Linked DNA regions of Stegostoma tigrinum. The protein of the gene in region 3 purifies or fractionates together with the protein of the main gene of each other region. This does not show direct contact. Links are inferred from orthologs where the notes say so. Each region holds a gene or a part of one and is shown on either strand. Other genes may lie near its edges. The genes, in order: pnn, hspa12a, band 4.1-like protein 3 and numa1.

Region 1 (7,739 bases), on a different chromosome or scaffold from region 3:
ATCTAAGGTCTGTTTCAGTGCTATATATCTACACGGCTAAATCACAAACCAAAATTTCGCAGAATTCCTAGTACACATTAAATTATAAACTAAAGCTAAAAATGTATGCCAATTAGATGTAATAAAATCACTTCCTAACTTTGAATCTTACATTGCCATTTACATGAAATAAATGCAATTCCTTTAAATTTAACATAGTAAAAGATTCTATTCCATCAAATGAAAAATGTAAACGGTATTAAGGAAATGTAATGAATTTCTATCTTACCTAAGTAATCCAAGCCCACGTCCTCTACCTCCACCAGGACCTGCGATGGATAACCGCCTAGCTTGGCCGGGCCTGTATTCAAAAATAAATTTGAATTAACAAGGACTAAAGCTAGTCATATACCCAAGTATGGGGTTTTGTATGGTAAACTATAAGAAATATTGTGAAAGTGAGAACATCTTTTGCAACTATTAGCTAACATCTATGAACTTCACCCACAGAAGGGAACGGGTCACTCAAAAATCAGCACTTGCCTTTTTGATTAGGAAATAAGGATTTAGCAAGTGATGCATACGATCATATTAAACAGGAATAACGGTAAACCAGCAACAATCCACTGCAAGAGATAATGGGAACTGCAGATGCTGGAGAATCCAAGATAACAAAGCGTGAAGCTGGGTGAACACAGCAGGCCAAACAGCATGACAGGAGCACAAAAGCTCATGTCAGCTTTTGTGCTCCTCAGATGCTGCTTGGCTGCTGTGTTCATCCAGCTTCACACTTTTATCCACAATCCACTGCAAAACACCTTTTAATTCAACAGGAATGAAATGGCAAACAAAGAAATAAATGGAAGAAATTTTCCTCTTACCATCTGCCGCCCTTTGACTTGCCACTCAAATCTCTTCAAAAAGTGGGGACAACCCTGTTTACGGTCACCAATGGCCACAACAAATTCCTCCTCTTGAGCTCAAGGCTTTTGATACAGTTGGCCACTTAATCTTTCTCTACCACTACATCACAGTACACTTACTTTCTCCATTCTTGCTGCTATTCCTAGTGCGTTTAATAACACGAATGCAACAAGATCTCTACCCACTCCTGCTTGGACAGTTCCATTATGACTCCACAAACTCCTGTACAATTCTCAAATGTAATGCCTCTCAACATAATCTTAAAGGATGAGGTTAACCTGGTAGACCTTGTGATCCAGACATAGTAGGGACTGCAGATGCTGGAGGATCTGAGATAACAAGGTGTAGAGCTAGATGAACACAGCAGACCAAGCAGCATCAGAGGAGCAGGAAGGCTGACGTTTCAGGCTTATCTGAAGTCTGAAGAAGGGTCTAGGCCGAAACATCAGCCTTCCTGCTCCTCGGACGCTGCTTGGCCTTGCAGTGTTCATCCAGCTCTATATATTGTTATTTCAGACCCTATGATCCACCTTGGTGGATTAACATCTGCTCACTGAAATTCAAGCAGCTCAGGCTAAATACTGGCAAGAAAGCCTCCTAGTCATTTTTGAAAAATAAATTACTGAAATGCATTGCAAAAAAAGCTAGTCTACTTATTTCAACTGAACCTTAACATACACTTGGTACAGAAATCCTTGTGCTTTTGTTATTGATCAGGTGGATTTTGTGCATTCTTCCCAATTAGTCTGCCAGTATATGCAAATATGGCTCAAGTCATTGGTCACTCTACCACAATAAAGCCCTTTATTGCTTTTAAACTGCAGTCATCACTAAACTTTATTGAATTACAATTATAGTGTCCTTTTCAAAAGCACTCATCTGACATATTGAAAAAAAGATGATCTTTAACACAGAAAGACAGCTTAATTCTTCAAAGGTGAGAAATACATCAAGAACTGAGGTGATGTCAAATTAGCCAAGACTCAGAGCGTACGAGCTTTGGGATGGGGATGGGGTAGGGGCAGGGAGGAAAGTGTTATTTTGCATTCGGTAGTTTTCCACTTCCTACTTCAGGGGTGATGAGACACAAAACACAGTCTGATTTGCTATCATTCTGTAATATGTTACAAATCTCAAAACTTCATGACGTTATAACATAAAACAATACATTAATGAATGTAAGAACACCAGGAGAACTAGTTTATTAGTGATGTTTTGGTACACAGTGGCAAAATGTCTCGATACTTTCTGCAGAGAATCCCACCTACTATCCACATTTATGTTTGGGTTGCCGTGTATTGAAGTAAGTGAAAATCGCCGGTTTACAAGTGGCTAATTACGAATCCACTGTTAATTACTAAGATTCTTTTAAATGTCGGGACTTGATTCTGTGGCGGGAAGAAAGTGAGGTCCTGAAACGCGGGAATCCGTTAGTAACCGCGAAAAGTGAAGGGACAATTTCACAGCGGTGCAAGGGGGAAGGCGTTCTACACGTTTCAATCGTTAAAATATCTTGAGTAATGGCCACTGAATGGGGTTGATGCTCTTTTTCACCACTTCCTCCATTCACTTAAGGTGACTAGGCGCCCACGCCATCAAAGCTGGGGCATTCCTCCGCTGGTGAGTTCCGCGATTGGGAACGCCATGGGGCCGCTTGCCAGGAGGCGGCAGGGCCCAAGAGACAAGGCACGGGCCTGAGAGAGGCAGTCAGACGTTCCAAGGAGTGGGATCTCGCCACAGCCAATATTGGGCAAGTCCCGAAGTTCGGCCTCCAACTCTCCCTTCCCTTCCCTTCCCGTTTCGTTTCGACGCTTCTCTCTCCTACCCCCCTCCCGGGGAGAAGCCGCGGGATAAGCCCGGGCCCGACCACCTGGCGGCCCAGTGGGTATAAAGCGGAGAATCCCGAGCCCCTGATAGCCGAGTCTGAGGTGTCGTAGGCTGAAAGGCGGTCACCTGAGGTCGTTCGGATCCCGGCCAGTCAGTTTCCGAATGTTCTCGTCCACATTCTTCAAACTTTCCTTTGCTTTCTCCAATTGATCCTGCAAACTTCGCACCGCTACCGCCATCTTTTCTCTCGCCGCCGTGCGCACAGCACTCTGGGAACAGGCCAGGCCCCACCCCTTCCCCAATCGGCCCGCCTAACGTTAGTGATGGTCAGACTGATGCGCCAATCAGCGATGAGCGGTCACTGGAACAAGGTCCAATCAAAAAAACCGCCGGCCAGCGCAGTGGCCAATCAGTGGTCTCCTATTGAAGAGTGCCTGAGTGAACCTTGGCAGACTGCTGCTTGAGAGTCAGGGCTCACGTCTTCGGAACAAAAACAGATGTTGCTCCCATTATCCCTATTGCTGAAAAAGCTCAACAGGTCTGGCAGCATGTGTGATGAAAACAAAATTCAGAATTAACGTTTGACCTTTCAAACGTCAAACTTTCCTGCTCCTGAGATGCCGCTTGGCCTGCTATGCTCATCCAGCTTCACACCGTGTTATCTCAGATTCTCCAGCATCGGCAGTTCCTACCATCTCTTCAGAATTAACGTTACGGGCCCGGTGACCCTTCCACTCACCTCTCAGGGATTTCTTTTCACGTAAGGAGCCAAGTTAAGCGCGAATTTATAACAAAGAAAATCAATGTCAGAGGAATTTGATATATTTTTAACAAGGTAGATCACAAAAACCCCTCCAAAAGTTACCAAGCAGCACAGCCCCTTTTCCGCTGAAGGGTCCAGGCCCGAAACGACAGCTTTTGTGCTCCTCAGATGCTGCTTGGCCTGCTGTGTTCATCCAGCCCCGCACTTTGTTATCTTGGATTGTCCAGCATCTGCAGTTCCCATTATCTCTGCCTCTTCGTATTCAATGGCTTTACTACCACTGTCGACAATCTGGAGGTTAGTATTGACCAGAAACTGAACTTGGCTAGCCATGTTTGCAATAAACAACTGCACCTCGCATTCCTTAGACGACATGTCCATCCTGGGCCTCCTGCAGTGCCACAACGATGCTATCCGTAGGTTGCAGGAACAGCGACTCATATTCCACTTGGGGACCCTGCAGCCCAATGCTATCAATGTGGATTTCACAAACTTCAAAATCTCCCCTCCCCCCACTGCATCCCAAAACCAGCCCAGCTCGTCCCTGCCTCCCTAATCTGTTCTTCCTCTCACCTATCCCTTCTCCTACCTCAAGCCACATCTCCATTTCCTACCTACTAACCTCATCCTGCCCCCTTGACCTGTCTGTCCTCCCCGAACTGACGTATCCCCTCCCTAACTCCCAACCTAAGCTCACCTCTACAGGCTCCATCTCCGCCCTCCCTCTACCTCTAATGCATAGTAACAGCATTGTGTACCATCTATAAGATGGACTGCAGAAATTCACCATGACTCCTCTGACAACACTTCCAAAACACACAACCATTATCACAAGGGAGAAAGGCCACAAATACATGGGAACACTACCATCGGCAAGTTCCCTCTAAACCACACACTATCCTGACTTGATATATAGCTTTTTTTTTATTCACTCATGGGCATGGTCATCAATGGTTGGACCAGCATTTATTGCCCATCTCTAGTTGCTTGAGAAGGTGGTGGTGAGCTGCCTTCTTGAACTGTTGCAGACTTTTTGCTGTAGTAAGACTTACAATACCGTTAAGGAGGAAGTTCCAGGGTTCAGACCCAGCAACATAGACAGGATAAAAATATACTTCGAAGTCAAGATGGTGACAGGCCTGGAGGAAAACTTTCGGGTGGTGGTAATCCCATCTATCTGCTGCTGTTAAATGGAACAGGTTAAGAATTTGGAATGAGAGATAATGGGAACTGCAGATGCTGGAGAATCCAAGATAACAAAGTGTGGGGCTGGATGAACAGAGCAGGCCAAGCAGCATCTTAGAAGTGCAAAAGCTGATATTTTGGGCCTGGACCCTTCATCAGAAAAGGGGGATGGGGAGAGGATTCTGAAATAAATAGGGAGAGGGGGGGAGGCAGACTGAAGATAGATAGAGGAGAAGATAGGTGCAGAGGAGAGTATGGGTGGGGAGGTAGGGAGGGGATAGGTCAGTCCAGGGAGGACGGACAGGTCAAGGGGGCGGGATGAGTTTAGTCGTAGGAAATGGAGGTGCGGCTTGAGGTGGGAGGAGGGGATAGGTGAGAGGAAGAACAGCTTAGGGAGGCGGGGACGAGCTGGGCTGGTTTTGGGATGCAGTGGAGGGAGGGGAGATTTTGAAGCTGGTGACATGTCATCTAAGGAATGGGAGGGGGAGTTGAAATGGTTTGGGACTGGGAGGTGCGGTTGTTTACTGTGAACTGAGTGTAGGTGTTCTGCAAAGCGGCCCCCAAGCCTTCGCTTGGTTTCCCCAATGTAGAGGAAGCCACACCGTGTACAGTGGATGCAGTATACCACATAGGCGGATGTGCAGGTGAACATCTGCTTGATGTGGAAAGTCATATTGGGGCCTGGGATGGAGGTGAGGGAAGAGGTGTGGGGGCAGGTGTAGCACTTCCTGAGGTTGCAGGGGAAAGTGCCGGGTGTGGTGGGGTTGGAGGGGTGTGTGGAGTGGACAAAGGACTCACGGAGAGAGTGGTCTCTCCAGAAGGCAGACAAGGGTGGGGAGGGAAAAATGTCTTTCTTGGTGGGGTCGGATTGTAGATGGTGGTCGTGTCGGAGGATGATGCATTGTATCCGGAGGTTGGTGGGGTGGTATGTGAGTACTATGGGGATTCTCTTCGGGCGGTTATTGCGAGGGCAGGTTGTGAGGGATGAGGTGTGGGAAATGCGGGAGACACGGTCAAGGGCGTTCTCGACCACTGCGGGGTGGGATGTTGCGGCCCTTGAAGAACGAGGACATCTGGGATGAGCGGGAGTGAAAATGCCTCATCCTGGGAGCAGATGCGGCGGAGGCGAAGGAATTGGGAATAGCGGATGGAATTTTTGCAGGAAGGTGTGTGGGAGTCAGTGGGCTTGAAATGGACATCAGTCTGTAGGTGGTTGCCTGAGATGGAGACAGAAAGGTCCAGGAAGGTAAGGGATGTGTTGGAGATGGTCCAGGTGAACTTGAGGTTGGGGTGGAAGCTGTTGGTGAAATGGATGAACTGTTCGAGCTCCTCTGGGGAGCAAGAGGCAGCGCTGATGCAGTCATCAATGTAATGGAGGAAGAGGTGGGGTTTTGGGAGAGTGCAGGTGCGAAAGAGGGGACTGTTCTACATAACCTACAAAGAGCAAGGCATAGCTTGGGCCCATGCGGGTACCCATGGCCACCCCCTTAGTCTGTAGGAAGTGGGAGGAATCGAAAGAGAAATTGTTGAGGGTGAGGACGAGTTCAGCTAGGCGGATGAGGGTGTTGGTGGAGGGGGACTGGTCGGGTCTGCGGGACAGGAAGAAGCGGAGGGTCTTTAGGCCATCTGCATGGGGAATGTAGGCGTATAGGGACTGGACATCCATGGTGAAAATGAGGGGTTGGGGACCAGGGAATTGGAAGTTCTGGAAGAGGCGGAGGGTGTGGGTGGTATCACGGACGTTGGTAGGGAGTTCCTGGACCAAGGGGAGAAAATGGAGTCCAGATAGGTGGAGATGAGTTTGGTGGGGCAGGAACAGGTGGAAATAATGGGTCGACCAGGGCAGGTGGGTTTGTGGATTTTGGGAAGGAGATAGAAGCGGGCCATGTGGGGTTGGGGAACAATGAGGTTGGAGGTCACCTGAGTTGATGAGGTCATGGATGGTTTGGGAGATGATGGTTTTCTGCTCGGGGGTGGGGTCATGATCAAGGGGCAGTAAGAGGAGGTTGTCAGAAAGTTGGTGTCTGGCCTCAGCAATGTAATGGTCAGTGCGCCATACTACAACTGCGCCTCCCTTGTCTGCGGGTTTTGATGGTGAGGTTAGGATTGGAGCGAAGGGCTGCCTGTTCTGCAGGGGAGTGGTTGGAGTGGGTGAGAGGGGTGGAGAGGTTGACGCGGTTAATGTCTCGACGGCAGTTGGAGATGAAGCAGTCGAGGGAGGGTCGGAGGCCTGGGGGTAGTGTCCCAGGATGAGAACTTGTGTTGGAGGCGGGAGAAGGGGTCAGTGGAGGGAGGGTTAGGCTCCCGGTTAAAGAAGCAAGCAAATGTGTTGTTTAAGGATCTTTGTGCATTTCCACAGTGCATCCTGTAGATTGTACATGCAGCTGCCACTGACTGTAGGCAGAGGAGGGAGTGGATGTTTTTTGATATGGTGCCAATTAAGCAGGCTGCTTTGTCCTGAATGATGTCAAGCAGCTTGAGTGTTATTGGAACAACAGTCCTCTTGGCAAATCGGGAGTATTCCTTCACATTCCTGAATTGAGCCTTGTGGATAGATTTTGGGGAGTGAGAGGTGAGTTACTCGCCACAGTATTCCTAGCCCTCTGACCTGCTCTTCGAGCCAACGGTATTTATTTGGGGAGTTTCTGGTCAATAGTAACACTATTGAGTGTCAAGGAGCAGTGGTTAGATTGTCTTTTATTGGAGATGGTCATTGTTTGGCATTTGTATGGCACAAATGTCATTTGTCACTTATGAGCCCAAACCCGGATATTGGTCAAATCTTGTTGCATTTGAACATGGACTGCTTCAGCAGCGAATGGTGCTGAACATTGTGTGATCATCGGTGAACATCTCCACTTCAGACCTTATGTTTGAGGGAAGGTCACTGATGAAGCAACTGAGAACGGTTAGACCTCTGACGCTACTTTGAGGAACTGCTGCAGACCTGTCCTGGAGGTGAGATGCCTGACCTGCACAACAACAACCAGCTTTCTTGCGCGAGCTATGACACCAACAAGCGTAGAGTTTTCCCCAATTCTTATTGATTCCAGTTTTGCTG
Region 2 (6,823 bases), on a different chromosome or scaffold from region 3:
CCCCTTTCCATTCCAGCTCAAATTTTCTATTCTTGTGCTAATCAACTGCGTGGGTATCACACCAACATATAACTCTGCGATAATAAAATGTGAGGCTGGATGAACACAGCAGGCCAAGCAGCATCTCAGGAGCACAAAAGCTGACGTTTCGGGCCTAGACCCTTCATCAGAGAGGGGGATGGGGAGAGGGAACTGGAATAAATAGGGAGAGAGGGGGAGGCGGACCGAAGATGGAGAGTAAAGAAGATAGGTGGAGAGAGTATAAGTGGGGAGGTAGGGAGGGGATAGGTCAGTCCAGGGAAGACGGACAGGTCAAGGAGGTGGGATGAGGTTAGTAGGTAGATGGGGGTGCGGCTTGGGGTGGGAGGAAGGGATGGGTGAGAGGAAGAACAGGTTAGGGAGGCAGAGACAGGTTGGACTGGTTTTGGGATGCAGTGGGTGGGGGGGGAAGAGCTGGGCTGATTGTGTGGTGCAGTGGGGGGAGGGGACGAACTGGGCTGGTTTAGGGATGCGGTGGGGGAAGGGGAGATTTTGAAACTGGTGAAGTCCACATTGATACCATTTGGCTGCAGGGTTCCCAGGCGGAATATGAGTTGCTGTTCCTGCAACCTTCGGGTGGCATCATTGTGGCAGTGCAGGAGGCCCATGATGGACATGTCATCTAAAGAATGGGAGGGGGAGTGGAAATGGTTTGCGACTGGGAGGTGCAGTTGTTTGTTGCGAACTGAGCGGAGGTGTTCTGCAAAGTGGTCTCCAAGCCTCCGCTTGGTTTCCCCAATGTAGAGGTAGCCACACCGGGTACAGTGGATGCAGTATACCACATTGGCAGATGTGCAGGTGAGCCTCTGCTTAATGTGGAATGTCATCTTGGGGCCTGGGATAGGGGTGAGGGAAGAGGTGTGGGGGCAAGTGTAGCATTTCCTGCGGTTGCAGGGGAAGGTGCCGGGTGTGGTGGGGTTGGAGGGCAGTGTGGAGCGAACAAGGGAGTCACGGAGATAGTGGTCTCTCCGGAAAGCAGACAGGGGTGGGGATGGAAAAATATCTTGGGTGGTCGGGTCGGATTGTAAATGGTGGAAGTGTCGGAGGATGATGCGTTGTGCACTCAGTTGACACTCACTATCTTATAGATTTTTGTATTGGTGAAAATATATCAACAAAAAAAGTACAGTAAAACTTTTACCTAGAAATCTTTAGAATCTCACACATTCTTCTATTCAATTTACAATGTATCTATTCAGTTTTCTGTAATATTTCTCATTGTATACAGCAAGTGTGTCCAAAATGTCTACAGAACCACTATTATTATATTCATGCTTATGACAGTGAGGTTTCACTCATACAGTAGTAGAATAGGCATTACCTGCTGATTTTATTTTCAATTTTTGTTATGATGTAAGTCCATTAAGCTACTCAGATGAAAAGAATCACAGCAGTCAGTCATTTTATAATTAAAAATCAGTACAATTGAGCACCCTAATACTAAAAAACAAGGTGCAAACTTGTCCAAAAGAGACTACTAATGTTCAGCGACCATTCTGCTTCAATTAATTTTCTAATTAATAATTTATTTTGAAGTTTCAATGGTAAAGCAAATGAAAGTGGAACAATTTTTGCTCAGTGACTTCTATTTTATCTTCTGAATATCGACAATGATGTTATATTTTTTGCATTAATAATTTGAAATTTTGTGATCTCTAGGTTATACACGGATCCCAAGTCAAAAGAACTGTTCCTCCTCGAATCGGCATTCTTTTGGGAGGCCCCAAAGTAGAGGCCTGGTGTCTAGACATTGCTGTGAAAGAACATTGAAGCTGGAGATTGACCATGTTGTGGAGAGCTGTTTAGTTGGCATAAGCTCACACAGATGACTGAGAATGATATCACGACTGTGAAGGTGCTTTAGGTTCCAGCAACTGGGAAGACAAGTTAAAATATCCACCTTCCCAATCATTTTATTAAAACGATTAGTGATGAAATTCCTTCTCATTGAGCTACTTTGTACTCTCTGCAGCTTTAACTGCCTCATTCAGGATACAAACAATATTTAATACCAAATAAAAATGTCTACGACTTAAAAGATCGAAACCATTATTTGAATCTTATGACATGCTACTTCCTACATTTGAGTCAGTTTTATCTGAGAACTCATTTTAAAGTGGCCTTGATCGAAATCACTACGACACGGCATTAGGGTGAGTAATTTTGAAATCTGCACTATCACGATTTATAATTGTAACTGCATGTAGGGATTGTTTAAAAGCAAAACCGTAAATCCGATCATTGAGATTAAAACATATATCGGGGCAAAAACGGATTGCTCCAACATTGGGACTGAACTGAACGCTCACAGTAAGTGGCTAAGAGAGGAAAAGCCAAATGAAACGGATTATGCTGCAAGGTTTTTTTTCACCTGCAACAAATCAGCTCCATGTAATTTTATGCTGCATTGAATCCCACAAGTCCCCCATCCATGTGACTATTACAATGGCTGGGCTCTGCAGTGAAGCTTGAGAGACTTAACAGGATATTACATCCAGTCAGGATCCTAGAGATAAAAACAACCAGCAGCGAATGAAAAAGACTACGAGTACTGTGTGGGTCCTGGCAGTATCACTGCAGGCCAATGCAGCGTCATAACAGTAAAATTTTTCCTACCTGCAGTGTGGCCTTCAGTCACAGACTCCTTCTCAGACATTGTGGTGAATCTAGTCAAAATCGGCAGTCTTTAAAACCTATTAATCATTAGGCTAGCAGAATCTTTAGCTCACAGTGCAGTCACTGCCATTGAAAACAAATATTACAATCTGTCTGTATCGCAGCTTGTCACCAAACTACTATAACAAGCTTTTGTCGTCCTTCCCTTCTCTCTCCCAAAGTCTTTTATACACACAGATTAGTAATAGTTCTAATCTTTGACCCCCCAACCCCACCCTAACTCTGCTCAAAAGGTTTCCTTGCCGAAATTAACCCAAACATAAAGAAAGAATGAACTGCTTGCACTCTTACTCCTCATGTTTCTGCAGAGCTCCTCCTCCCTAGTGCGTTCATACACAGTGTCAGCAGCATCAGCAGGGAAGGGCTTCCCATGCTGCAGTAAATGACCGAGCAACGGCAGCAGACTGCCAGCATGAATCACACAGCAAGAGAAACAATTAAAATCGCCCAGTAACTGCGCGAGATTGATCCGGTTATTTTAGATCCTCCAGATTTCATTATTTTGCACTGTACTTGTCAATCTTAACACTGTTCCCCGTGAAATGTACACGGCAATAGTTTTAAATCGAAGAGATTTTAATTGCAGAAATACACTGTAGCAAGACTCTTGGTTCTAATGTCCTCAAGTTAATAGTGCTATTAGTTTTGTATCTTAAATCCTGTGTATTATGCAAAAACTTTTAAAAATATATAGGAAACATTTTGAAGGAAAACAATGTTGTACACACAGCTGCTCTAAGTCCCTCTGATGTCTGGTTAAACGCTGCCATCCTTTCCTGATCCAGAATCATATATGATATATGCCATCTTCCAGTAGGTTTCACTTCCAAATCAGTTCTTGTGGCTTAAAATAATTAGGAAAAAAAACCCTCCACTTCTGGGGGTAACTCTTCGACATTTGGGCCCAGACCTCCGGGATCCAGGCAGTCGGAAAACGGGCGTACCTCAAAAGAAGCGCATCAGGACCTGTCAAAATCTGCCCACACTGAGGACACAGTAATTGCCCGGAAAGTTTTAAACTTGCGAAGGGCAATTACCGGATGACGGAAACCCTCTGAAGTAGTCCCCGTTCCGTATGGTCGAAGACTTGAGAGTCCCAACGTACCTTACCAACTAGCCAAGAAATGTTAGAACGTTAAAACCCGCCCTTAATCGTGCCTAACTGTACCAGTGAGCTCCAGCTCAATCACTCACAATGATTGTTCCACAATGATCACTCACACTGACCAGCACCCCAGTCGACCCAGCCGACCCCACATTGATACCAAACTCACAATCTCCTCATACACTACGATGCCCACCCATGGACTATAACCAGTCTCATTATCTCCAAACACCCAAATTGACCTCCTCCACCCCTCTGCCACCATACACTCATGCCTAATTCCAACACCTGACCCTTTGAACCCTCTCACCCTGCCATCTGTATCCCGTCACTGATCAGGAACCCAAACCATTCCATTTTGTCCCCTTATTCACATAGCACTACATTCCCTCACTCTCACCTTCTCTCAGTAGCTGTCAAAGTGGCTTTGGGGCTTTTAAACACTTTACTAAAAAAACAGCTATTTTCATAAACAAAGGGTATGGTTTCATCAACAATCATGTCACACAAATGCGAGGCAATGAATATCACCAATAAGACAGTATCTAACCATCACTCCTTGACATTAAATGGCACTACCTTCACTGAATTCCCCACTGTCAACATTCTGGGGGGTTACCAATGGACAGGACAGTGAAGAAGGTTGTCACAGAATACAATGGGACCTTAATCAGATGGATCGAAAAGTGACAGATGGAGTTTAATTTAAATAAATGAGTTATTGCATTTTTGTAATGCAATTGAAGGCAAGACCTATATGTTTGATACTAGGGTCCTGGCATGTGTTGCTGAAGAAACAGACTTTCGGGTGAAAGTTCATTGTTCTTTGAAGGTGAAGTCACAGAGTTTCTTAAGGTGGAGTCACAGGTAGACAGAGTAGTGAAGAAGGCAAAAACAGAAATTGCTGGAAAAGCTCAGCAGGTCTGGCAGCATCTGTGGAGAGAAATCACAGTTAATAGTTCAGGTCGAGTCACCCTTCCTCAATTCGGGATGTTTAGAAGGCTTTTGATATTGTCCCATACAGGAGAATAGTAAACAAAATTAAAGCACATAACACTGAGGATAGTTAACAAGCAAAAATCAGAGAGTCAGCATATGTCAGTCTGTGGCCAGTGGACTACCGTAAGGTTCAGTGCTTGGGCCCCAGCTGTTCACAATCTACAAGAATGATTTGGATCTGCTGGAAAATGTAATGTTTCCAAGTTTGTAGATAATGCAATACTTGGTGGTAATGTGAGTTGTGAGGAGGATGCCAAAAGTCTTCAGGGGTTTTAGACAGGAGTGAGTGGGCAAGAGCATGGTAATTGGAATATAATGTGAACCAGTGGGAGGTTATCCACTTTACTGGGATGAAGAAAGATGCAGAATATTTCTTAAATGGTGAGAAATTGGAAAGTGTCAATATCCAAATTTACCTAGGTGTCACCAGATTAAAAAAAAACTTAAATGAACTTGGATGCTGGAAATCTGAAACAAAAACAGAAGTTGCTGGGAAATCTCAACAGGTCTGGCAACTTCTGTAGGTCTCTACATTGGGGAAATGAAGCGTAGACAGGGTTAACAAAGTGTGAGGCTGGATGAACACAGCAGGCCAAGCAGCATCTTAGGAGCACAAAAGCTGACGTTTTGGGCCTAGACCCTTCAGAGAGGGGGTGAGGAGAGGGTTCTGAAATAAATAGGGTGGGAGGGGGAGGCGGACCAAAGATGGATAGAAGAGAAGATAGGTGAAGAGGAGAGTATTGGTGAGGAGGTAGGGAGGGGATGGGTCAGTTCTGGGAGGACGGACAGGTCAAGGAGGCGGGATGAGGTTAGGAGGTAGGAAATGGAGGTGCGGCTTGAGGTGGGAGGAGGGGATAGGTGAGAGGAAGAACAAGTTAGGGAAGCGGGGACGAGCTGGGCTGGTTTTGGGATGCAGTGGGGGAGGGGGAGATTTTGAAGCTTGTGAAGTCCATATTAATACCATTAGGCTGCAGGGTTCCCAAGCAGAATATGAGTTGCTGTTCCTGCAACCTTCAGGTGGCATCATTATGGCACTGCAGGACGCCCGGGATGGACATGTCGTCTAAGGAATGGGAGGGGGAATTAAAATGGCTCGCGACTGGGAGGTGCAGTTGTTTATTGCGAACCGAGCGGAGGTGTTCTGCAAAGCGGTCCCCAAGCCTCTGCTTGGTTTCACCAATGTAGAGGAAGCCACAATGGATACAGTGGATGAAGTATACCACATTGGCAGATGTGCAGGTGAACATCTGCTTGATATGGAAAGTCATCTTGGGGCCTGGGATGGGGGTGAGGAAGGAGGTGTGGGGTCAAGTGTAGCACTTCCTGCGGTTGCAGGGGAAGGTGCCAGGTGTGGTCGGGTTGGAGGGGAGTGTGGAGCGGACAAGGGAGTCGCGGAGAGAGTGGTCTCTCCGGAAGCCAGACAAGGGTGTAGATGGAAAAATGTCTTGGGTGATGGGGTCGCATTGTAGATGGCGGAAGTGTTGGAGGATGTTGCATTGTATCCGGAGGTTGGTGGGTGTTATGTGAGGACTAGGGAGATTGTCTTTGGGCGGTTGTTGTGGGGGCAGAGTGTGAGGGATGTGTTGTGGGAAATGTAGGAGATATGGTAGAGGGTGTTCTCGACCACTGCGGGGGGCAAGTTGCGGTTCGTGAAGAACGCGGACATCTGGGATGTGCGGGAGTGGAATGCCTCATCCTGGGAGCAGATGTAGCGGAGGCGAAGGAATTGGGAATAGGGGATGGAATTTTTGCAGGATGGTGGGTGGGAGGAGGTGTATTCTAGGTAGCTGTGGGAGTCGGTGGGCTTGTAATGGACATCAGTTTCTAGCTAGTTGCCTGAGATGGAGACTGAGAGGTCCAGGAAGGTGAGGGATGTGCTGGAGATGGCCCAGGTGAACTTGAGGGTGGGGTGGAAGGTGTTGGTGAAGTGGATGAACTGTTCGTGCTCCTCTTGGGAGCAAGAGGCGGCGCCGAAACAGTCATCAATGTAACGGAGGAAGATGT
Region 3 (7,077 bases):
CTGGGGTGGGATCGTTGGACGGTCAGTGTGTATCTGATGGGCTTAATGGCTTGCTTCCACATTGCAGGGATTCTATGAACATCTTGAAAACCAGCACTGGTTATAAATCAGGTGAGAGAAACATCTGCCCAACTGGAAATTCAAAGATTCTAAAAATGCTGATACTGCTGAGAATACAAGATATTAACTGAACAGCCATGCTCTCAGGTTCATCTATTACAAATTAGGGACTCTAATAACTTCTACAATTGCATATGCTTTCATCTTACCCCTTGAACTGGTCACTGTCCCCTTCTCAAGCTTTATACCCGTCTGCTTAATGTCATATTTTATCAATTTTCTCAGGATCGGTAGGTAAAACAAATCATCTTCTATTTAGTCAAGCAGTTGGCTTCTTAATTCTAATCTAGTGCCTCATTTTAATTGAACAGTGATATAACTTTGCGCAACAAATAAATATTTGTCCTGACCAAACAAAAGGAGCCGATTTCGTCAAAGATGGAAAGAACTGCCGATGCTGGAGTCTGAGATAACACAGTGTGGAGCTGGGGGAGCACAGCACCCCTTCTCTCCCGACTGTAACAAGGGGATGTTTGTAAATTCGATATGCAACTTTAATTTTTTCTTAGTTTGGATGTACGCATGATGGAAATATTTTAATCCAGTTCTTGACTGAGGTTCGAAGTAGTGTTGTTTTTCTATAATGAGCAATGAACTTGCCCCTCAGAGATGTTATGGACTTCAGTTTTGCTAATCATAACACCAGATTCAACAATATTTCTACTGTCACCATTTCCATTCTGAAAAATATAACACAGTATTAACAACATAAATATTATTAACATAAAAACTTCATGCATTGTGATTTTATCTGTCATTTACAGTTTGATTATCATTTGCATTCCCAAGTTTATTAAAGACTAAAGTTGTACACGTTGCACAACCATGGGTATATTATAAAGAAAAATATTAGTCTATTTATTCTCAATCCACAATCTCTTTTCATTTGTGTCTTATTTTCATTTGTACAGATATAGGAAGGGAACTTTGTTTGTATGGGCTTAATCTGAAGATGTTTAATTTTTGCAAGTAGTTTGGCATGTAACCATTCTTTCCCTCAAAGATATGAAGGTAATTTTCAAAAATAAGAACAGAAAGTGCTCGAGTTGATCAGCTGGTTGCGTATGGGACCTTAACATTTTCAAATGTGCAGCTGTCTCTCCAATATTGCAATAGTGACTAGCTTCAAAAATGCTTGATTAATAACAAAGCACGTTTGTCGCGAACTGCCTTATACAAATTTGAGACTTCAGTTTTTACCATCGTCTGAAATGTTTCAGGATCAATTGCTAACAAGTGTATTTCACGACATGGTGTTTCCCTAATAGCTAGTTTCTCTTGCTTAGAGAAAGTACATTCAGTGATTTTTATATGTGCACCGACCCGTTCGGATGTGCCGCGACAAACATCCAGGGCAGGTAGGATTTGGGCAAGACCCCTTTGGGTAAAAGGCGGGTGTGGTCCTCCTGTATCACTAACCCCCATCCCAGACGTTGATGTTGTGCATCGTAGGCTTTAGGGGGGAATTTCGGGTTAGTGTGAGAGGGAGGCAATTACCATTATGAAAAATGCTTTTGGATTTGATAATGTGCGACACGATGAGCGCATTATATACCTTTACACTTAATTTTTGCGTCGTCTGGAAGCAAGCGCCACCCACGGATGATTCAAAAACCAACTTTGCCACAATCAAACGCCGTGCCAAGCGCTTGTGATACATTTATTTGTGTCTAGTGGATTAGTTGGTTCATAATTTATTCATACAATTTCACATTTCCGCCTTTAAAATAGACCACTCTACTTTGCCCGTTCAAGTTTTTTTTCTCTCTCGGCATTTTCTGACTGAAATGAACCTGTCATCTGCTGTTCAACGAAAGCTCGTAAAATGGCAGGTATTGATTATAATTGGTATCCCAATGTTCCAATTGGAAAATGCAGATTTTACAGGAATACGGTTAACCAATAGTAGTGACGTGCCCACCCCCTTTTGCTGAGCAGTTCGCATGGTGAGTGGATTGCCCTTCAATTAGTTGACATGAGGTGAAAGCTTTGGCCATGTTGTCGTTTTTAGATAGTGCATTGTGACAAAGAAGGAATAGGAGTTGCCATGTCTTGCGAGTGGGTGTATGTTAATTAAGTTGTTAATACAACTTTACTTAAAAAGAAATAAATGAAGATCAGACTTTTAAGCTTATATTTTCAACGTTTGAGTCGTTCCTAACTGTGCCCAGGGCAGTTTTGAAAGGAGGACAGGTAAGGGATTCTGTTTTCTGAAGGTTGAATTGTCATTATTTTTGTACTTATTTTATTAGTTTTGTGCTTGCGGTCCAGATGAAGTTCCTGAAAGGGATAGACTGGTAGGTGTAGAATGTTTTGTCAGTTTGGAGCTTGTCTCTTGTCCAACGCGGTACTGTATGACAGAAATCTGATCGGTGTTAATGTAGAATCTACAGCAGTTGCCTCAACCTGAAGCTTAGTATGTTCGAGGATTATTTGCTTTTAAAATAAATTAATTTGGAAAGTAAGCCAAGTGTGGTACTGAGACTAAGCTCATATGCAACACTGTGCCTTTTCAGAAATGCTGGTTATTCCCTTTGCAGCAAATAAAGTCACATTTACTTATCAGACACACAAAAAAATCGTTTGCCCAATGATGGACTCTAAACAAATTCAAAGCCCCATTTATCAGTGTTAACTTTAAAAACAGTAGTAAAAATTAAAGTAGTAAACTCATGCAGAGATGTAACTTTTGATCATTTTTCATGAATCTCTGCCCTTACAAAGGGACTTTGTGAAATTGCTGACTGAACCACTTGCCGTTAAGGCTTTCAAAATAAGTCTTATGACGTGGCTGAGATTTGAAGTTTAGTTGCCCATGTTGCAGGTTTTTCTGTACTGTACAAGATAACAAGTAGAAGGTTTTTTAATGCAGTAAATGGATCTTGCTTATAATGTGGATCGTTTGCCATAACTAATGCATTTCATTGATTTGCTGGACCAAGCAGTGGAAAAAATAGTCATCAGCTGATCCAGTTTAATGTGATTATGTAGCAATTGTCTAATCGCCAAACTGCTGATTTAAGTTGGATTAATTTACAACGAGCATCACAGTTGTCCCTGAATGATGATATGCTTTTCTGTGTCAAGTTCAAGAAGTGTTTCCTGTGACAAAAAAAATTTCAGAAAAGATAATACTTTGATCTGTTTCTGCTAATACTTTGAAGGGAACATTTGTAGTTTGAATTTACAGCTGTAGTCTAAAATTAGAGACCATTTATTTTCAATCATTTGGTTTGAGTTGAAACTACACTAAGAATAAACCATACATTTAAACTTGTGGCAAAGGAACAGTTGTTCCTGTTTATATTTAATTAAACTCCTATTAAGATGTTCTGAATTGAACTTGTGTCATCTTCTGTAATTTAGTGATGAAGTGTCTTTATTTGCTTCAAAGAAATAAACGCACTGGATAGAAATTAGGCAAAAAATGAAATTATTTTCTTTCTACAAGTGCTCACATTTTGTTGAGTCTGCAGCTGAGAGAAAATGTCTAAGAGACTGTTGTGTTTATTGCACCTTCTTGTCATGGAATTGCAACAAAACCAGCTGAAAAGACTTAATGTTACATAATTTGTTATATTAAAATAGGTAATATAGCAATGTATAATGTATTTAACAGGAAACTGTAATAAATTAATGGTGCAACAGTTTTAAAGGCTGCCTTTTTTTTGTCTCAATTTTGCTTTGCCACTGCCAAAAACCTCTGGGCTTTGAGGAGACATGAGCATGTATGAATATATAAGTATTTTAAATAGTTGAGCAGAAGTTTTAATATGTGATACTACTTGATGCTTATTTACTCTGTAGTTTTAACATATAGGCTGAAACTTTACAAATGTTTAAAACTTTTTTCAAATAAACATCCAAATTCGTTTTGATCTGATTGCTAATTTTGTTTTCCATGTTACAATCATGATATGCAACAATCAACAATATGATGTAACATCGTTTCTGGACTCGGGACATAATTAACCTCTGTGAGTACTTTGTGTTCATTACCTAAGAATGCCAGTTTTGTAACACACTACATTGTTCTGTTATTGTGTTACTAAAATATATGGATGAAGTTAATTGTATATGAAGATTAAATCTGTTTGATTTATTTTATGTGATGACTAGTGATTTATATTTGCAAATCACCGGAGTAATTTGAAACTGCTAGTGTATTTGATCTCACAAATCAGCTCGTTTTATCTTGAATTTGTATCACAACAGAAGGCCATTTGTGACCTATTATCACATCTATATGGTAAAAGAAATGTGTTAAGTATGTAAATAAGCATATTAGAACTGCAAAATTTATTCTTGTATGGATCAGTTTGCCATCCAACACCAAAAGTTCTGTATGTACGTTCGTGCTGGACTTTTATGATGACTTTGCAAGCAAAACCGAAAGATGTGCACTTTTATAGTTTGCCTTGCTACTTGTTCAAGCAAGTTATTTGAACTAAAATGTATCATATAATGAGGATAACAATTGCAGCAGTCTAGTGAAAGATCTTAAGCGGAAATACCAACAAGCTGATATTTGGGAGAACCATACCTGCGTTCTGTTTGCAACTCATTGAAGTACTTGGCTTATAAATCTGCCATATTTTGCCTAAATATTTCCCATTACAATATTTTCTAACAATATAACATACACAATGACATATACTCTGACAACTAATGTCTTCAGAAATATTGACAATCAAAACTTGACTGATAAGTGAAAAGTCTTTCTGTATTTTGGGGAATAATACAGGTAGATGGAAATGCATATTTCTAAAACGGGTATTATATAAGATCCATTTTTATTACTTTTATTAATAATGGACCAACAGAACCAAGTTCAACCCTCTCCTTGCTCAATGTTTACAAAATGTGCATTCCTTGGAACGTTACAATTAAAAGCAGGAATACTGCTTTTAGTTATAACCTTCCGCAGGAAAACACGTTTTGAAAACATTGGGCAAGGAGAGGGTTGAACTTGGTTCTGTTGGTCCATTATTATTGAATGGCATGTTGATACTTTTGTGAACAGGAGCCACTTGAATGGCTAGCTCCACCTATACATTCAAACCAGCAGGTGCCACTGATATTGGGCAGCAACAGTCGATGGGGAAATACAATGAGGACGATAGAATTGAATTAAATATTGTTAATCCAAGAGTGAAGGGATATGTAAATATTCTTTCTGCACTTAATGTGTATTCTAATGTAGGTGCAAAGCAGCTACAAAATGCAGATGCTTTTTTTAATGTCTACTTACATTGGTTGCTCTCCTTTAAGATTTAAAGGTCATAAAACAGTAGCATTATGGTTATTAACTTGCATGCCTAATCTTTAAATGGAATCAAATAACTTTAAAGTAAAAAGCCAATAAAAGAAATGTTGGCTGTGAAACAGATGAAGAATCTTTGAGACCTAGTTCATGAATGCACTTTAGAGAGGAAAATCAACTGGTCAGGCCGCATACGGTTCCAGACTCATAGCCAAGAGTTGACTTCTAACAGCCCAGGGAATTGCCTAGCAATTCAGTCACTTGTACTCAAAACGATTAGTCATCAGCACCTTCCAAAAAATAAGTGGGTATAGGCAAAAAAATGCTGGCATTGCTACACACTGTCAATGAGTACGAGGAAGCATGCTGTGAAACTTCAGCTTTTGATTCAACTTGAAATTTTATTGAAATGTTTACAGCAAAGTAAAACTTGGAATACCCAATAACCCAAACTGTGAATTATCATTTTCTGTTTACAATAATACCACAACTAATAGTCAATACAGCATGGAGCTGGAGGAACACAGCAGGCCAGGCAGCAACAGAGGAGCAGAAAAGTTGACATTTTGGGTTTGTACACATCATCAGACAATTAGTAATTCTATGATCATTTTAAAATGAATCCGTCTGACTTAAATAAAATGTATTTTCTATTAAGGAATACTCCCAAGATATTTGGCATTACACTAAGCACTTAGATAAAATACTTAGTTAGAATGAAAATGCGCACCTTGTGACTAAGCACTACTTGTGTCTACTGGGCCATAGTGCTGTACTGGGTCGTGCAGACCAGGAGAGTCAAATCCTGACCTGTGCAGTTATAAATTACTGCTGTAATTGGCCTTGGCACACTTTAAGACGAGGTGTAAAAATTCTTGCTTTTAGTTATAACCTTCCACAGGAAAACACATTTTGAAAACATTGGGCAAGGAGAGGGTTGGAGTTGGTTCTGTTGGTCCATTATTATTGAATGGCATGTTGATACTTTTGTGAACAGTAGCCACTTGAATGGCTAGCTCCACCTATACATTCAAACCAGCAGGTGTCACTGATATTGGGCAGAAACAGGCGATGGGGAAATACAATGAGGACGGTAGAATTGAATTAAATTATTGTTAATCCACGAGTGAGGGGATATGTAAATATGTGCAAGATGGAGGAGAAAGTGCTTGGAAGAAGATGTGGCTATTACGAGTGAGTTGAATTATGTGTGTGAGTTCAATTGACTCTTGGATTCCTGAATGCCATTTTTAAAATCACAGCACAAAATGTTCATGGACAATAATGACCTGAAGTGTTCGTAGCATATTTGAACTTGATTCAATGCACATTTTATTTTGCCTTAGATATGATACACTGACTCTTGACAGACTATGTTTTCCCCACTATACCCTTTCTCTGTTATATAAAAAGTGTTTGATGGAATATTGTGGTTGACTGGCTCTGGTTCAAATACTTCAATTATTTCTGTGCTTATGTCAGATTTACCACATAGAGCAGTTTTTTTCCTGAATGTTAATATTATCATTCAAGCAGAAGTAATTGTTGATGCTGTTCTTTATCTTAAAGATTATGTAGTTGATTCTCTGATAGCAATGAAAAAAATCCTGATCTTAATTTCTGTTGACACTGACTGCATATTATAATTTTCTTTAGTTACACTTTAATGATGTAGACATAAAGTATTCCAAAAC
Region 4 (7,830 bases), on a different chromosome or scaffold from region 3:
AACTGGGCTGGTTTAGGGATGCGGTGGGGGAAGGGGAGATTTTGAAACTGGTGAAGTCCTTCAAGGACCGCAACTTTCCCCCCACAGTGATCGAGAAAGCCCTTGACCGCGTCTCCCGTATTTCCCGCAACACATCCCTCACACCCCGCTCCCGCCCCCGCCACAACCGCCAAAAGAGGATCCCCCTCGTTCTCACACACCACCCCACCAACCTCCGGATACAACGCATCATCCTACCACACTTCCGCCATCTACAATCCGACCCCACCACCCAAGACATTTTTCCATCCCCACCCTTGTCTGCTTTCCGGAGAGACCACTCTCTCCGTGACTCCCTTGTTGGCTCCACACTGCCCTCCAACCCCACCACACCCAGCACCTTCCCCTGCAACCGCAGGAAATGCTACACGTGCCCCCACACCTCCTCCCTCACCCCTATCTCAGGCCCCAAGATGACATTCCACATTAAGCAGAGGTTCACCTGCACATCTGCCAATGTGGTATACTGCATCCACTGTACCCAGTGTGGCTTCCTCTACATTGGGGAAACCAAGCGGAGGCTTGGGGACCGCTTTGCAGAACACCTCCGCTCAGTTCGCAACAAACAACTGCACCTCCCAATCGCAAACCATTTCCACTTCCCCTCCCATTCTTTAGATGACATGTCCATCATGGGCCTCCTGCAGTGCCACAATGATGCCACCCGAAGGTTGCAGGAACAGCAACTCATATTCCGCCTGGGAACCCTGCAGCCTAATGGTATCAATGTGGACTTCACCAGTTTCAAAATCTCCCCTCCCCCCACCGCATCCCTAAACCAGCCCAGTTCATCCCCTCCCCCCACTGCACCACACAACCAGCCCAGCTCTTCCCCTCCACCCACTGCATCCCAAAACCAGTCCAACCTGTCTCTGCCCCCTAACCTGTTCTTCCTCTCACCCATCCCTTCCTCCCACCCCAAGCCGCACCTCCATTTCCTACCTACTAACCTCATCCCACCTCCTTGACCTGTCCGTCTTCCCTGGACTGACCTATCCCCTCCCTACCTCCCAACCTATACTCTCCTCTCCACCTATCTTCTTTTCTCTCCATCTTCGGTCCACCTCCCCCTCTCTCCCTATTTATTCCAGAACCCTCACCCCATCCCCCTCTCTGATGAAGTGTCTAGGCGCGAAACGTCAGCTTTTGTGCTCCTGAGATGCTGCTGGGCCTGCTGTGTTCATCCAGCGTCACGTTTTATTATCCTGGAATTCTCCAGCATCTGCAGTTCCCATTATCTCTGGACATGATAGATGCAGGGAAGATGTTTCTCAATGGTGGGTGTGTCCAGAACCAGGGGTCACAGTGAGGGGTTTCAGGGTAGTCAATTTAGGACAGAGATGAGGAGACATTTCTTCACTCAAAGTGGTGAGCCTATGGAATTCATTACCACAGAAAGTATTCAAGGGGCAATCAGATATAACACTTGGGGCAAATGGGATCAAAAGTTATGGGGAGAAAGCAGGATTAGGCTAATGACTTAGATAATCAGCCATGATCGTGAAGAATGGCAGAACAGCCTCAAAGTGCCTAATGGCCTCCTCCTGATCCTATCTTCTATGTTTCTATAAAGAAACTTCATGGTAAATGGTAACCTAGTGGTCATGTCAATGGACCAGAACCTCAAATGCCCTAGATGATTTGTTTGGGGGAAAATTGGTTCAAATTCCACCACAGTAGTTACTACAAACGTAAATTCATGTCAAAACAATCTTTTTGACATGCTCAAACAAACAGTCCGAAATTAAGGGGAACCAATGGCCTAATAGCATTGAGCCAGGTAATGTTCCGGTGACCTGCCAAGGTAGATGGTGGAATCTGGAATTAACCATTGTTAAAAGTCAGTCAGGAAACAGCCCATCTGTTTTTCAGAGAAGGAAATCTGCCATCCTTACTTAGTCTGACCTACATGTAGTCAACTCTTAGCTAACCTGCGGCCAATAAACTCTGGCCTGGCACGCGACGTCCACATTCCTTGAAGAATATAATTGAAAGCTAGTTATCGGGTTTATTTTACAACACGGAGAGGCCCTGCGGCTATTCGTATCCGCGCCGCTCATATCAAACATCCGTTTTCCAGAACTTAGCGCCTGGTCTCAGTGATTAGGTCATCATTACCGGTTGTTAAAACCCACTGCTTCACACCTGTCCCTTACAGTAAGGCATCTGCGGTCCTGCCCTACATGTCTTTACGATAAGGCCTTCCATTTATCCATCCAGTGGGAGTAGGACAGGCTCAGACCCGAACGGCACAACGGCCTACCCCGACCCTTAATCGTTCGTTTTACCTCAGACGTACACTCCGAATAGCTCTTAACCCCCAGCAGCCTGCCGCGTCGATCCTGGACTAGGCCGCAGGATCCTCGGCATTGATTTTCTGAGGCCTCCCGGGCCCCGACCCTTTCAAACCAGGGCCCCGCCTCCCCAGGCTGCGCCGCCATTGGTCCCCGGTGTTGGGTAAGGGGCACGTGATCCTCTCCATCCGGGTACCGTACATCACCTTCCCGCCCCCCCCCCCCCCCCCCCCAAATCCGGGTAACTGGCGTCGTCTCTGACATCCGGGAACCCGGTACGGAGGAAAATACACGTGATGACGTTGCCACAACAAAAAAAAGGCGGGGGAGTTCGTCGTTAGCCGTTCCTCCTCCTCTAGCAGCAGCAGCCGCCGCAATGGCTGACTAGAGCGATAAGCGGCAAACAGATCGATAGAAATGGAGGTGGTGGATAGCGACACGAATCAATGGGTGGCGGACGAACAGGAGGAAACCACCAAGCCCTCGACGTCGCGCAACATTGCCGGGTGAGTGTCTATCTTGGCACCCTGGGATTTGTAGTCCCGTCCGTCAGTCGTTTCTTTCCGTCGTCATTCCTGTGGCGCACCGGACCACGGATAGCTCACCCGCCGCGGGAAAGGAACAGTATTTGAAAAGGTTCTCGGGTTTACAAGCTGCCCACCTTTATCAGGAGATAGCAGGGGTTGGCCGCAACCGCTCCAAGTCACGCTGGAGAGTCTAGTCCCTCGCCAGGTCCCTCCGCGGGTGGCTGCTGGCGCGGAAACTACAACTTCCAGTAGGCCACGCGCAGCCACCGCTCGTGTTGCCCCTAGCAACCCCATGATGCCAAAAGAGGAAGGTTGTGCTGAAGCACCTCAGTAAGTGAGAGCGCGCAGTAGACACTGGTCCATCCAATATCACACACAGCTCCTCACCTTTTTATTAGGCGTTTTACACACTTCCAGACTAAACCTTGAGTTAATCAGTTTCACAGTTTACACTCTGTTCAAGAGAACAAATCTGATGAAGGGTCCAGGCCCGAAACGTCAGCTTTTGTGCTCCTGAGATGCTGCTTGGCCTGCTGTGTTCATCCAGCCCCACACTTTGTTACCTTGGATTCTCCAGCATCTGCAGTTCCCATTATCACTGACACTCTGTTCACTCCATTTGGTTTTCTTTGGGTATGTTTCATGAAATTCTGATACATAGTCGTAGAATCATAAGACGTAGATAGAGGCCGTTTGGCCCGTCACATCTGTGCTGACCCTCTGGACAGCATTCCACTTGATCCCACCGTATCCCCATAAGCACACATTTCCGATGGCAAATCCACCTTACCTGCACATCCCCAGACACTATCGGGCAATTTAGCATAGCCAATCCACCTAACGTGCACTTGTGGACTGTGGGAGGAAACATAGGGAGAATGTCAGTATGGAGTTTGCACAATCATCCAAGGCTGGAATCAGAACTTCAGTGTTGCCGAAAAAGAAAATACACATTGTCAAAACTTTTCACCTTGTAATCATCAGGACATTGGCAAGGAGCAAGATTTTTACTGGACTTGTACAGTATAATACTAATTGGCAGTGGTATACAATTTTTACAGCACAGAAGAGGGTGGGTAGCTGAAACCCACTGCTTTAAAGGCGTGGTAGAAGTAAGGACCTTCAAGACATCTAATAAATGAACATTTGCAAAGCATTAGAACAGAAGGCTGTGGGCCGTTAGAACAGAAGTGCTGGAGAATGGGACTAACAAGGAAAGATGCTTGATGACCGGCACAGACACAATGTGCCGAAGGACCTTTTTTTTTGGTTTGGTAGAGATTTTATGCCACAAGAAGGCCTTTGGCCATCGTGACTATGTCATTGAAGATCCATCTATTCTAATGCCTGACCCTTCATTCCTGTCTGTAAACCTCTTCATAAACCATACCCACATGTTTTTTATGTAATCTGAAATCTTGGGTATATAATATTCCTCATCTAAGTCATTCATATATATTATCAGTAGTTGTGACACCAATGCTGATCCCTGTGGCATACCACTGGTTACAGATTGCCATCTGAAAACGCTCTCTTTATCCCAACCCCCTCTATTAGTTAGAAAATCCTCTGTCAATGCTAAATTCAATTTCCAATGCCGTGGGCTGTTACTAAGTAGCCGAACATATCAAATGACTTCTGGAATTCTGAACATCTAAATCTATTATATCAATTGCTTCCCCTTTTATTTATTCTGCTTGTTACCTGTTCAAAGAATTCTAATACATTTGTCAGCCATGGCTTCACTCTCATGAAACCATGTTGACTCTGTTTTATCATTATGTATTTCTAAATGTGCTACCATTACATCCTTTTACAATGGACTAATATTTTCAATTGACAGATTAATATATTCTTTTTGTAAATAAAGGTGCTATATTTCCAGTCCTCTTGGGACTTTTCCAAGTTCAAAGCATTCTTGGAAGATTACAACTGGTGTACCACTATCTCTGTAGCTACTTTTAATATCCTTGCGTAACAACTGAGGAAGCCCAACTGGAGAGAAACATCATTTAATGTTGAATATCAAATAGAGCCACTACTCCTGGCGTGCATAGACTGGTCCCAGGCTGGGACAGATGGGGGGGCGGGCGGGGCGGGGCGGGGTTTTTACCACTGGGACTATTGGCACAGCCCGTTCAGCAAATCGGACTGGGTGAATTATGTCACTTTCCCCTCGTCAGTCTAATTCAACTTTTACCTTTGTATGTAGAGCAAAGGGAACTGGTTATGCCTTGAAGTATTCAGGTAGGCCCTCTGGGTCTACGTAGATCTTGGCTCTGGTGCCTTTTAGTTTTCACAAAGCTCTCTTCAAACATTTCGGGTTACTTCCTAATGACTTTGTATAGATCATTGGTACTCATTTTAAAAATCTGTTGCCAATCCAGGTAGATTTTCTGTTGCAGATCCCTTCCCAAAAGATTGGGACTTGTCCCTTGCACTACCACTAAAGGGAGTCAGACTATCTGCTGCCCTGCCATAACTGAGGTTATAATGGTTCCAATATTCAATTACAATTGAATTCAATTACATTCAAGGTGGCATCAGAATAGGGTTCTTGAGCTGGAGCTCATCTGCTCCAACTGATTTTCTTGTTCTTTGTCTTTTCTTGTTCTTTTTTTCTCTCTCCTATATACATTTGCTTACCTTTTGTCCAGAGCTCAGACATCATTGGCAGCATGAGAGCATGAATCTCAAATGAGCCAGATGTGGGCCTCGAGTGACTTCTTGCTTTTTGGGGGCAAACACAGGACCTGGCATTGGAATTGGCGACTGCTCTATCAGCAGAGGTGAAGTCAGTGAGATGGTGCCTGAGAATCAGTGACTTCATCGTTGTTTGGATCCAGGGCTGGTGGCGGCAAAGCGGTAGTGGAAGAGCATCATAGCGACATTGAAATGAACCCAGCAGCAAAATATGTGACTGTGTTGGATGGTCTGGCATAGGTGGTGGTGAGATGGTGGTGGAGGAGTAGCAGCCCAGTGGCGAAAGATGGTGCCTGAGGATCGGTGACTTTGATATTGGTTGTGTCCTATGAAGACAGCGGTGAAGCAGTGGAGGAGAGATGGCGGCATTGGCACCGCTAATGGTGATAAGTTGGCTCAGGAGTAATGGACTCTCTCTAAGCCATATCTTTTCTTTCCTTATTCTTAAATTATTCAAATGGCACCAAATCACAGGAACAAATGAAACCTTTTCACTGTATTTTATTGTATTCTTACTGTAAAATACAAGTGAGAATAAAATCATACATAATATGTAAGGGCTCCCTGGTGCATTTGGCCAGTCTAAGCTCAGAGTCTCACAAGCTGAAAGGCAAGATGCCCCTATGGAGTTTCCTAAAGGTTTGTTTGCAAACAACAAATGCAGGCATACCTGTGGCTACTTTATTGTCAAGGGGTTGGTAATTTATCTGGAGCTTTATATTAGTTGGAGCCACTTTGGGAGCAGTGATTTATAATTTAACATATCAATTCCTAATCATCATACTGATTTATTTGCAAAGCTCTATCTTGAGGTGAAAAGGTGTGCATTTTGCCTGTTTCGATAGCCTTGTCTCAGGCAGACCCTATGACTGCAAGTGCAGCATAGACATTCTCAGTCTTCACTGTATCATGGAGAAACTTCTGCCCGGTTCTGGAAGCTTGTAGCCTCTGACTCCAATCGCCCTTCCTGACAACTAGTGGGAGCCGTGAGGGTTTTTTGGTGGGGACTTGGCTTGCACAATGGGGATAGCCCAAAGCTGCAGATTGTACTCTGTGGACCCATGAAGCTCCTGAAAGCATGGTACCACATTTTCACAGGAAAGGGCCAGTTCTATGGCTTTTTTGATGTTAATAAGATCATAAGACATAGAAACAGAATTAGGCCATTGAGCCTCCTCCACCATGGCTAATGTGTTTCCCAAACCCATTGTCCTGCAGTTTCCCTGTAACCATTGGAATGGTTGTTGGAAGTTCCAGGATTTAGACACTTTCAAAAGATTTAGGGAGAGTGGAAAAAGAAGCGGGGGATTGGCATTGCTAGTCAGGGCTAGTATAGCAGCTACTGAAAGGCAATTTGAGAATGATATGTCTACAGAGTCAGTTTGGGTTGAGATCCAGAACAAGAAAGGAGCAGTCACTTTGGGGGGGGTTTTTACAGACCGCCCCCCCCCCCCCCCAACAGTTGCAGTGAAGTAGAGGAGCGGATTGGGAGGCAGATACTGGAAAGGTGCACAAGTCACAGGGTTGCAGTCATGGGTGACTTCAGCTTTCCAAATATTGATTGGAAACATTTTAGTTATACTAGTTTAGATGGAGCGGATTTTGTCCACTGCATTCAGCAAGGAAGGAAATAGACCAACATGAGGAGAGGCCACTTTGGATTTGGTGCTTGGCAATAAACCGGACCAAATGTTAGACCTGTTGGTAGCAGAGCATTTTGGCAGTAGCGATCATAACTCTGTTACTTGTACAATAGTCATGGAAAAGGATAGGTACATACAGCAGGGTAAGGTTTATAACTGGGAGGAAGGGTAAATACAATTCCGTTAGGCAAGAACCGTTAGGAAGCATGGACTGGGAGCAGTTGTTCCATGGTAAGGGAACTCTAGACATGTGGAGACTGTTTAAGGAACAGTTGTTGGGAGTGATGAGTAAATATGTCCCTCTGAGACAGGCAAGAAGGGGTAAGATAAAGGAACCTTGGATGATGAGAGTGGTGGAGCTTCTTGTGAAAAGGAAGAAGGTAGCTTACATAAGGTGGAGGAAGCTAGGGTCAAGTTCAGCTAGAGAGGATTACATGCTGGCAAGGAAGGAGCTCAAAAATGGTCTGAGGAGAGCCAGGAGGGGGCACGAGAAAGGCTTGGCAGAAGGAATCCGGGAAAACACAAAGGCCTTTTACACTTACGTGAGGAATAAGAGAATGATCAAAGAAAGAGTAGGGCCGATCAGGGATAGCATAGGGAACTTGTGTGTGGAGCCTGAGGAGG

Evidence for each region.
Region 1: the proteins of band 4.1-like protein 3 (region 3) and pnn purify together in Homo sapiens (co-immunoprecipitation; 3 studies listed by BioGRID and IntAct, with this or other methods). This does not show direct contact. The link is inferred for Stegostoma tigrinum from reciprocal best matches to the Homo sapiens genes EPB41L3 and PNN.
Region 2: the proteins of band 4.1-like protein 3 (region 3) and hspa12a purify together in Homo sapiens (affinity purification with mass spectrometry; 4 studies listed by BioGRID and IntAct, with this or other methods). This does not show direct contact. The link is inferred for Stegostoma tigrinum from reciprocal best matches to the Homo sapiens genes EPB41L3 and HSPA12A.
Region 4: the proteins of band 4.1-like protein 3 (region 3) and numa1 purify together in Homo sapiens (affinity purification with mass spectrometry; 3 studies listed by BioGRID and IntAct, with this or other methods). This does not show direct contact. The link is inferred for Stegostoma tigrinum from reciprocal best matches to the Homo sapiens genes EPB41L3 and NUMA1.

What each region holds. Positions count from the first base shown.
Region 1 is NC_081363.1:55,583,441-55,591,179, reverse strand, and holds the start of pnn (pinin), read right to left. Parts: upstream 3,005-7,739; 5' UTR 2,970-3,004; coding exon 2,857-2,969; intron 341-2,856; coding exon 269-340; intron 1-268. UniProt on the Homo sapiens protein: Transcriptional activator binding to the E-box 1 core sequence of the E-cadherin promoter gene; the core-binding sequence is 5'CAGGTG-3'. Capable of reversing CTBP1-mediated transcription repression.
Region 2 is NC_081373.1:20,489,634-20,496,456, reverse strand, and holds the start of hspa12a (heat shock 70 kDa protein 12A), read right to left. Parts: upstream 3,001-6,823; 5' UTR 2,696-3,000; coding exon 2,656-2,695; intron 1-2,655. UniProt on the Homo sapiens protein: Adapter protein for SORL1, but not SORT1. Delays SORL1 internalization and affects SORL1 subcellular localization.
Region 3 is NC_081358.1:20,955,470-20,962,546, forward strand, and holds the start of band 4.1-like protein 3, read left to right. Parts: upstream 1-4,074; 5' UTR 4,075-4,097; intron 4,098-7,077. UniProt on the Homo sapiens protein: Tumor suppressor that inhibits cell proliferation and promotes apoptosis. Modulates the activity of protein arginine N-methyltransferases, including PRMT3 and PRMT5.
Region 4 is NC_081359.1:110,954,414-110,962,243, reverse strand, and holds the start of numa1 (nuclear mitotic apparatus protein 1), read right to left. Parts: upstream 3,015-7,830; 5' UTR 2,995-3,014; intron 2,840-2,994; coding exon of another isoform or gene 2,751-2,839; exon of another isoform or gene 2,586-2,750; intron 2,521-2,585; exon of another isoform or gene 2,328-2,520; intron 1-2,327. Other genes in the region: lrrc51 (leucine rich repeat containing 51), read left to right, coding at 2,751-2,839. UniProt on the Homo sapiens protein: Microtubule (MT)-binding protein that plays a role in the formation and maintenance of the spindle poles and the alignement and the segregation of chromosomes during mitotic cell division.